Oryzias latipes: one gene and its partner. The protein of the gene in region 1 purifies or fractionates together with the protein of each later gene. This does not show direct contact. Links are inferred from orthologs where the notes say so. Each region holds a gene or a part of one and is shown in the gene's direction. Other genes may lie near its edges.

Evidence for each region. Proteins that work in one complex are often made in the same cells at the same time.
Region 2: the proteins of casp2 (region 1) and p53-induced death domain-containing protein 1 purify together in Homo sapiens (affinity purification with western blotting; 5 studies listed by BioGRID and IntAct, with this or other methods). This does not show direct contact. The link is inferred for Oryzias latipes from reciprocal best matches to the Homo sapiens genes CASP2 and PIDD1.

The regions. Positions count from the first base shown.
Region 1 is NC_019874.2:20,114,731-20,118,059, forward strand, and holds the end of casp2 (caspase-2), read left to right. Parts: intron 1-1,008; coding exon 1,009-1,118; intron 1,119-1,203; coding exon 1,204-1,338; 3' UTR 1,339-2,556; downstream 2,557-3,329. UniProt on the Homo sapiens protein: Is a regulator of the cascade of caspases responsible for apoptosis execution. Might function by either activating some proteins required for cell death or inactivating proteins necessary for cell survival.
Region 2 is NC_019864.2:15,844,123-15,848,712, forward strand, and holds the start of p53-induced death domain-containing protein 1, read left to right. Parts: upstream 1-1,635; 5' UTR 1,636-2,137; coding exon 2,138-2,783; intron 2,784-2,859; coding exon 2,860-3,273; intron 3,274-3,351; coding exon 3,352-3,504; intron 3,505-3,597; coding exon 3,598-3,649; intron 3,650-3,732; coding exon 3,733-3,934; intron 3,935-4,590. UniProt on the Homo sapiens protein: Component of the DNA damage/stress response pathway that functions downstream of p53/TP53 and can either promote cell survival or apoptosis.

The DNA.
Region 1 (3,329 bases):
AGTTTATTTTGGTTGGTTTCAAACTTGGGAAAATAAGGTAAAAAGTGAAATTTAAAGTGCTCAGCATAAATGACTACACCCACTTTAATAAGTATTAATTTAATCAGTAACTCAATGAACAAAAGAAAAATTTCCAAACTTTCCACAAGTTATAGTTTTATTGAACACTTCTTTAATTCTATTACATGAAATAAAGGTTAATGATCTATCTTAGATCACATAATCTTCAGTTTTGCTTAAATTGGTTGAAGCAAAAATGAATACACCCTGGAACAAAAACTACTACATCCAGTAATTTGTATGAGCACCGGTATGTTTAAGGACAGCGCCAAGTCTTCTAGGCATGGCATAAACAAGTGGGCGATCTAATCTTTTTCCATTCTTCACTGAAACATCTTTGTCCTTTTCTGCTTGTTTAAAGTCCCACTCATTATAAATGTCATTTTTAGCCAAAATCAAAAACACTTTTCCCAGGACATAGTTTCTGCAGAGCGGCAGTAGTTTATTAGAAATTCACCTCTGAGTTGTGGGCGGGACTGCTGGCGTGGAGCAACCCCGGTCTCCCTTCCCCTTCCCGTTTGTGAGAGTTCTATATTTACATGCTCACCTGCCTGGTCACAGCCTCTCACCCTTTTAACCTAACATTAATGTTCCAACGAAAATGGTGAGCAATATTGGAGCTATCCAGCCGTACAGTTTTGAGCCAGATGCCAGCTTGAAGAAGGAAAAAAAAGACGTACATGGATCTGTTTGTCTGCAAGTGGATCCATCAGAATGGAGCGGAGCAGGGAGCTTGTGACTTGTGGCCTGCCCAGAGTATTTTCTACGTCACAACTTTGCTGCTTTTCAAACGTAGTTTTTTCGTCTGCCCCTGATCCACAATAATATTATTTTTAACTTTTCTTTATGTATGTCCTCCATCATGAGAAAAACGCAACAAGAACATGTTAACAGCACCAAAAACATGATTTCCATTGGTCTTTATAACCTTTAAATATTCTTTTTTAGGCACAGCAGCCATGCGAAACACCAAGAAAGGATCTTGGTTCATCCAGGAACTGAATACAGCACTCCGCCTCAATGCCAGAGACACCCACCTCGCTGACATCCTCGTGCAGGTGACAGATGTACTTTTTAAAAATGAATTTATTTGCTATAGTCCCATCAAAGGCTTTTCTAATCATGTCAAACTTGCTTTTTTAGGTCAACAAACGTATTAAGGAGAGGGAGGGTTACGCTCCCGGCACAGCCCACCATCGCTGCAAGGAGATGTCAGAGTTCACCAGCTCACTTTGCAAAGACCTTTACCTCTTCCCCAAGTACCAGCCCCAGTGTTGACATGCAAAAAGCGCACTTTAGGTTGACGGTTTTGTGCAGCCTCCCAAGCACGGCCGTCACGGCAGCTCAGAGAATGCCCCCTACTGCCACACATTCCCTGTTACAAGAGACCAACCGTGACCCGCCTCTTCCAGAGACAGGCGTTCACGTGAAAGTATTGGGAGAAAAAAGACGAGCAGGTTAGACAATATACAAGTAAAATCATGCTCTTCTATATATATATGTGTGTCTGTCCTCATGCCAGTTAGTGGGTTTGTATTTGATTTCTGTCAAACCCCACATTTACTCAGACCTTTCTCAAATCACTATTTTTAAAAAAGCTTTTTTGTTTTTACACAAATCTATTTTTGTGGCTTTATTTTCTACAAAATCGTTTTTTTTTGTAAGGATTTTTAAAGGCGTGTGTGTTTTTGTATTTTTAGTAAACTGACAGGCAGGTGGCAGCACAGCAAAAACCAATTCTTTTCATCAGCTCTTAATCATAAATATTTATACTCTGGAGATTAAAGTAAATCTGTAAAGTTAGGACCGAAGTTTGTCACTAAAAGTTATTTTTTTGTTGTTGGAAAAGTTTGAAATCAAACTTTAAAAAATAAAAAAAATCCCTTAACCTACAGGACAACTTCTAAAGGATGTCTTGAAGTTTTTATTAGTAATTTCTTTTAAAAAACCTGTGTATTATTACTCAAAAAAGCAGCATTTTAAACATGAATATCTACACTCATTATTTTCAGGTGAAGTCCTCCTGTTCATGTCAGGCTGATGGGCTAAACTTTGGTGCTACATTCATAAACAGAAACTCAAACTCATTTCTAGTGTTTCTCTCAATGTGGGAGTTTCATGGTCCATGGGACCGTACCTGATACAGGATGGAGGGAAGGTCTTTGCTTGCGCCTCCGTGGCTCTTTGCTCAGCCATTTTTTCATGCGGTGTATATGAAAGGTGCATGAGCATGGACAGGAAGTTCCCTGCCAGGACCAACTGTGTTCAGTCACCACAGTGTTGTAACAAAAAACAAAGAAGCCCACATGTGGTCCAGACAGTATTTGTAAGTGAAGATGCTGTTCTTTGCACAGCTTTATTCTCTTAATCAGGAGGTACAGTCTATAGAAAGGATCTCTGCAAATGAGTAAAATGAGACTTATTGGACTTGAGGAGATTGTGTCATCACTTCTGACTGCCAGATACACAATAAAACTCAATTTCTTTTAAAGAAAACAAAGTGTACGTTTGATTTTCTCGCTGCGTTTATGTGGAATGTGAGGCCTTTGCCCGAATGTACACCGCGGCTTCTCCTGTGCATGCTCCGCTGCATCTGATCCTCCTTGTTGCTGTGTTTGGGTGTGTTGTTGCCGGCGTATAGCCCCCCCCCCCTCCGTTCTCAGGTATAGTGTAACTGGCTCCCCACTCTTTGACTGCGCTGAGGTCTCCTCTGGCTGCGACTGAGATGGATGCATCTCCCACACGTATCGCTGGCGCTGCCTGCCGCCACCCACTGATAATGTTCTGAGTGTATCAGATTGAGGCTCAGCCAGCTGTCCAGAGTCACTCTCCCTTGACACACTCACTTAAACACACAGCGGTCAAAATAACACATTTCTGGCTGGCATCAGATGGAACTTGGAGATGAGCTTGATATGCGCTTGGCGTGTGGACCACAAAGCGGGGCGGGCTCCCTGTTTTTGTTTTTGTTCCTGTCCTTGTCATCAGAGAAGAGGGGGACTGCCGTGGGAGCTGCATAGTCTTATCTGTGAGGGATCAGGGGCCCTCACGGAGCGCACCAAAAGAGCTTTCTAGACGTAACGCAGCAAATTGAATTCAAATAAACCCTTTTTTTGCTCTTTTAGGATTTGTGAACCTGCTGTTTAAACCCAATGGGAATCACTTAACTCCTGAAGGGTTTTATTTATTTATTTATTGGGGGGGGGGGGGGGGGGGGGATTTTCTGTGGAAAAGAACATTTAGTGATTGGAGCTGCCTCAGCATGTGAC
Region 2 (4,590 bases), on another chromosome or scaffold:
CAAATAAAACCAACAAAAAACCCCAAAGCTGTTTCACAAAAAATACTTTCATACTTTCACATCTATGCTATACACATATAGAATAGACGTTAGAATAATAAATATGATAAATCACAACATTTGTTTCTCATTTTTAGTGAGGTGTTGCCACACAAATCACCTTATTGGTTCACACTAAGGTAATAAAAAAGACAAAAATATATATATATATATTTTAAACGTAGCAAACCCTTAGATTAGTTTATTTTGGATATTTAACAAATGGAATGATGAGGGTTAAAAACATGTCTGCAATTTTTTTTAGAAAAAGGTGATTTTCTGTCTTTTGGACAAATTCAAGATATATTTAGAATATCACACCAAGATTTTTTAGGTTTTCTCCAGAACTTTGTTCGGACCTCTCTTTCTTTCCCAGGTAACCAACCAATCCTACACCCAGTAGAATTCTTTCTTCTCAACTTGAATAAAAATGCCTCCTCCAAGAAGAAATTCCTTTCTCTCTGCTCTGCTATGGCATCGAACCCTCTCACAAGTGAGAAATCTGGGTATCGTTGGGAGGCAGATTTGGGGATTGAACTTGATGTTGAAACTTGGTCAAATGCTTTTGTGTGTACAAAAAAAACATTTACATGTAACAAACTCAGGGAAAACCAATACTGAATTTTACACAAGACCCAATATACTCCACAGGTTTTAGGATTCAACCACAACGCTCATCTCTCTGTATAAAGTGTAAAAACACTGTAGGAACTTGCTATCACTGTGTTTGGCAGTGTCAGTTGATCTCCAGATTTTGGCAAACTGTTGCTACAGGGATCCGCTCAATTTTTTCGTAAATCTTTTGCCCTGGACCCTACTTTGTTTCTTTTAGGCCAGTCAGGAAGGTTGCCTGTGTTACCTGGAAGTATGAGGTTGATCCAAAAACCTTTACACCTGCCTAGGAGATGTATACTGCTACAATGGATACAAGTGAAACCTCCATCCGTTACTCAATGGAAAGTTTGTCCGATGGAACGACTCAGTGCCCGGTTAAAGGGTAACTCCGACATTTTTCTACAAGACGTGGCAGCCTTATCTGGATCACCTCGAGAAATAGCTGATATACTTTGTTAAAGGAGGCTCACATTTTGTATTTCAAAGTAATAAGTGTTTTAAGAAAATATCTCAACATGTTATTCTAACCTAGATTTTGTGTGAACCTTTAACTAGTTAGATATCTGCTGTGCTGTGCTGGTTTGTGTTGTGTTCTTTTCTTACAAAGATAACAAAGTACAATTTAAAAAAAAAGATTAAAAAAATTACAGATGATATTTGAATATAACTTAAACCAGATCAAACCTACTGTTAGAGGAGGGCAGAAATAATTTATCCAGATTAGGTAAAGGATGGTTACTGACACTTATTTATCTAGAAAATAGACATGACACACTCTATTTACCAGGTTCTTAAATGATTAGACCAAAATATACATTTAGTTTCATATATAGAGGGACATTTGTATTAATTTAGATAATAAAACTTTTATTTAAAAAAAAAACAAGGCCTCACATTTTAAACAGTGATGACATTATTGTCACACAGCTAACATTTGTAACCAACAACGCCATCTAGTGTCCGTGTTGAGACAATGCCGCACACGTTTTCAAGTTGACAATGATGTCCCGCCCAGCGTTGAAACTTTGGCGGTGCCTTCACCGTGACGCTTGTTTTTGTTAGACACTGAACAAAAAGAGGGGCGGGACTTTCTCTCCACGCCATTTGTGTCGTGTGCAAACACCCGCCCCTCGCCAACCGGTAGACGCAGGAAATCTAAACGAACCTATAACTGTGACGTAATACCTCTACTTCAAAATCACTTGTTTCATCCGGAAGCTGTGTTTTTCGCTAGCTATGTAACTTTTTCGACAGTTGGTAAGCAAAAGAAAGAATGTAGCATGAAATAAAATGTAGTTCTAGTGTTGGCTTTAAAAAAAAGGCACATTCATTCCGTGGCTGGCTGAAAACGTATGTCGGTAACGGTTACCAGTTATCTTTGTTGCCACAGATTTGACATCTTTTCATCTGACGCACTAATGTAAACTTGAAAAGGACTTGTCAGTCGGCTTATTACTGTTGTCAAAATGTGTGAACTGTATTGATGGAGAGAGGCGGCGAAGGAGACCAAAGTTCTGATGAAGAAGAAGGTGGGGTCCAGGCGGCTGCTCAAAACACGCAACAGAATGAGTTGGAAGATGGAGAGAAGGTTGCTGCACCGGCAGCCAACCCGTTAAGTACACCAACCGAAGCTCAAAGGGAGCGGGGAACACTTTCAAACGGGGCTCAGGAGAATTGTGAGGAGGCTGGAGTCAGTATGTCACGTGATTTGATGCTTAAAAGCCAAGCAGGAGCTTTTGATCCAGAAAACTATGACAAAAGTGCATCTCCCTCAAGCCTTTTGGGTACTTGTGATCCATCCATATCAAACTCTTCATCCACCTCTTGCTCCTTCAGCCATCACGATATGGTGCTTTCATGTTCCTCCTCATCCTCCCATTCTTCTGGCTTGTCTCTGAGTCCACCATTGCCCTCCACCGTGGAGCTCTCGGCTGTGTTGACTGACACGAGACTGACCCTGGATGTGTACCCCGGGGGAGCAGGTGCATTGCCATTGCTATGGGGGTCCATTCCAGCCGAGCTGAGGGGCATCCAGTACCTGAGGCTTGGTTCTGAGGACAGATCCGGGCTGGACGGTGCCCTGAATGTGCTGTCAAACCTGACAGAGCTGCGCTCACTTGCTATCCGGGGTAATATTTCAAAGTATATTTGACATATCTGCAACGTTGTATTCGTTCTCCGCTGACCTGCCTTATTTTCTTTAAGGACACCGTCTGTATGACTCAAAGGGGACGCCTCTGCCTGGCCTCCTCACCACTTTGCCATCATCTGTGTCTTCTCTCACACACCTGGTGCACCTGGACCTCTCCTTCAATCAGCTGTCCTGTCTGCCGCCCTGCCTGCTGAGCCTGCCTCTGCTCTCCTCACTGCTGCTTTGTCACAACTTCATCTCGGCGTTGCCTCCTGAGATATGCCAGCTGTCCTCTCTAACCTACCTCTCCCTCCTGGGGAACATGTTGGAGTCCCTTCCTCCAAGTTTAAGTCAACTGAAGACACTGCAGGAACTTGACGTGTCGCACAACCTCCTGCAAAAACTACCTGAAGAAACCGGTGGTCTGAGTGAGCTTGTAAAGCTGGACTTGTCCCACAACAAACTAAAGCAGCTTCCAGAGAGCATGGGTAAGGGTTTAAGGGTGAGCAACATTTTTAATGATCTAAACCAACGTGAAGATATAATGTTCCTCTGTCCTCTTGCAGGATCTCTCTGTTCTCTCAGGGAACTTGTTATATACAGCAATCACCTCCGTATGGTTCCATCGTGTCTAAACAAACTGCCTCAGCTTAAAATAGATGCACGAGACAATCCTTTGGGAAAACCTCCAACACCTCCTCCTCTCCCTCCTACACTGGGTACAGATTGAAAGAAATCACACGGATTTTTCTCAAATAATTATCTGCTTCACACATTTATCAGCAGAACATTTGTTTAATTCCTTTAAACAGGTCGATCAGTGACAGAAATGCCTGAGTTGCACCTTGGATTTAATCAGCACAGGTACAGCGGGATAGTAACATTAAGAGCCATCTGATCATGTAATGCATTTGTGTCTATACTAAAGATTTGTCTATGTTCCATAGTTTTTGGGTTACTCCTGCTGGGTGTCATGTATTTCTTCCCGGGGGGGCTGAGCTGGTGTTCCCCTGCCGTTGCCTGCTGACAACTACTAGACTGAGCTGGGCGGAAAAGAGGCCAAACAGGAAGTGGGTGTGGCTGGAGGAACACGACCTCCTACTAAGTCGTCCACTGGAACTTCGTCCCCACGGTGTTGAATTTCTGAAGGTATAAATATGATATTCTTAGTTAAATGTATTTATTAAATGTAAACAACAATATTCAACCCAAACTAAATATGGTAAATGGTCTATACTTGTAAAGCGCATTTCTACCTTAGTCGAAAGCCCAAAACGCTTTACACTCTAAGTTCCATTCATGCACTCTACTGCCAAACACTGGCCCCAGGTTTCCACCAGAGGCAAGGTGGGGTTTAGTGTCTAACCAAAGGACACTTCGACACATGGCGGGAATTGAACCTGCAATCTTCTGATCAGAGGTCGACCGTCCTACCTACGGTGCACCACGGCCGCCTGGCAGTGCCCTCCCCCAAAAAAACCTGCTTTGGCAATGTCAACATCACGGAATATAACTTTATTTTCAAAAATAGTTTAAATCTGTAAATTTAAGATAATTAGATATATTCATTTAAAATTAATGAAATGAGCAATATGCATATGATTATTTGAAAAGAAAACACATTTGCTGCCTTTTACCAGTGACAAGCATGTATTTGGCTGCACGGTGGATCAGTGGTTAGCGCCCTTGTCGTCGTCAAGTCCTTTCTGTGTGGAGTATGCTTGGTCTCCCTGTGCATGTGTGGGTTTTCTCTGGGGACTCTTTTCAAAAACATGCTTCAAAGGTTTATGGGTTACTCTAAATGG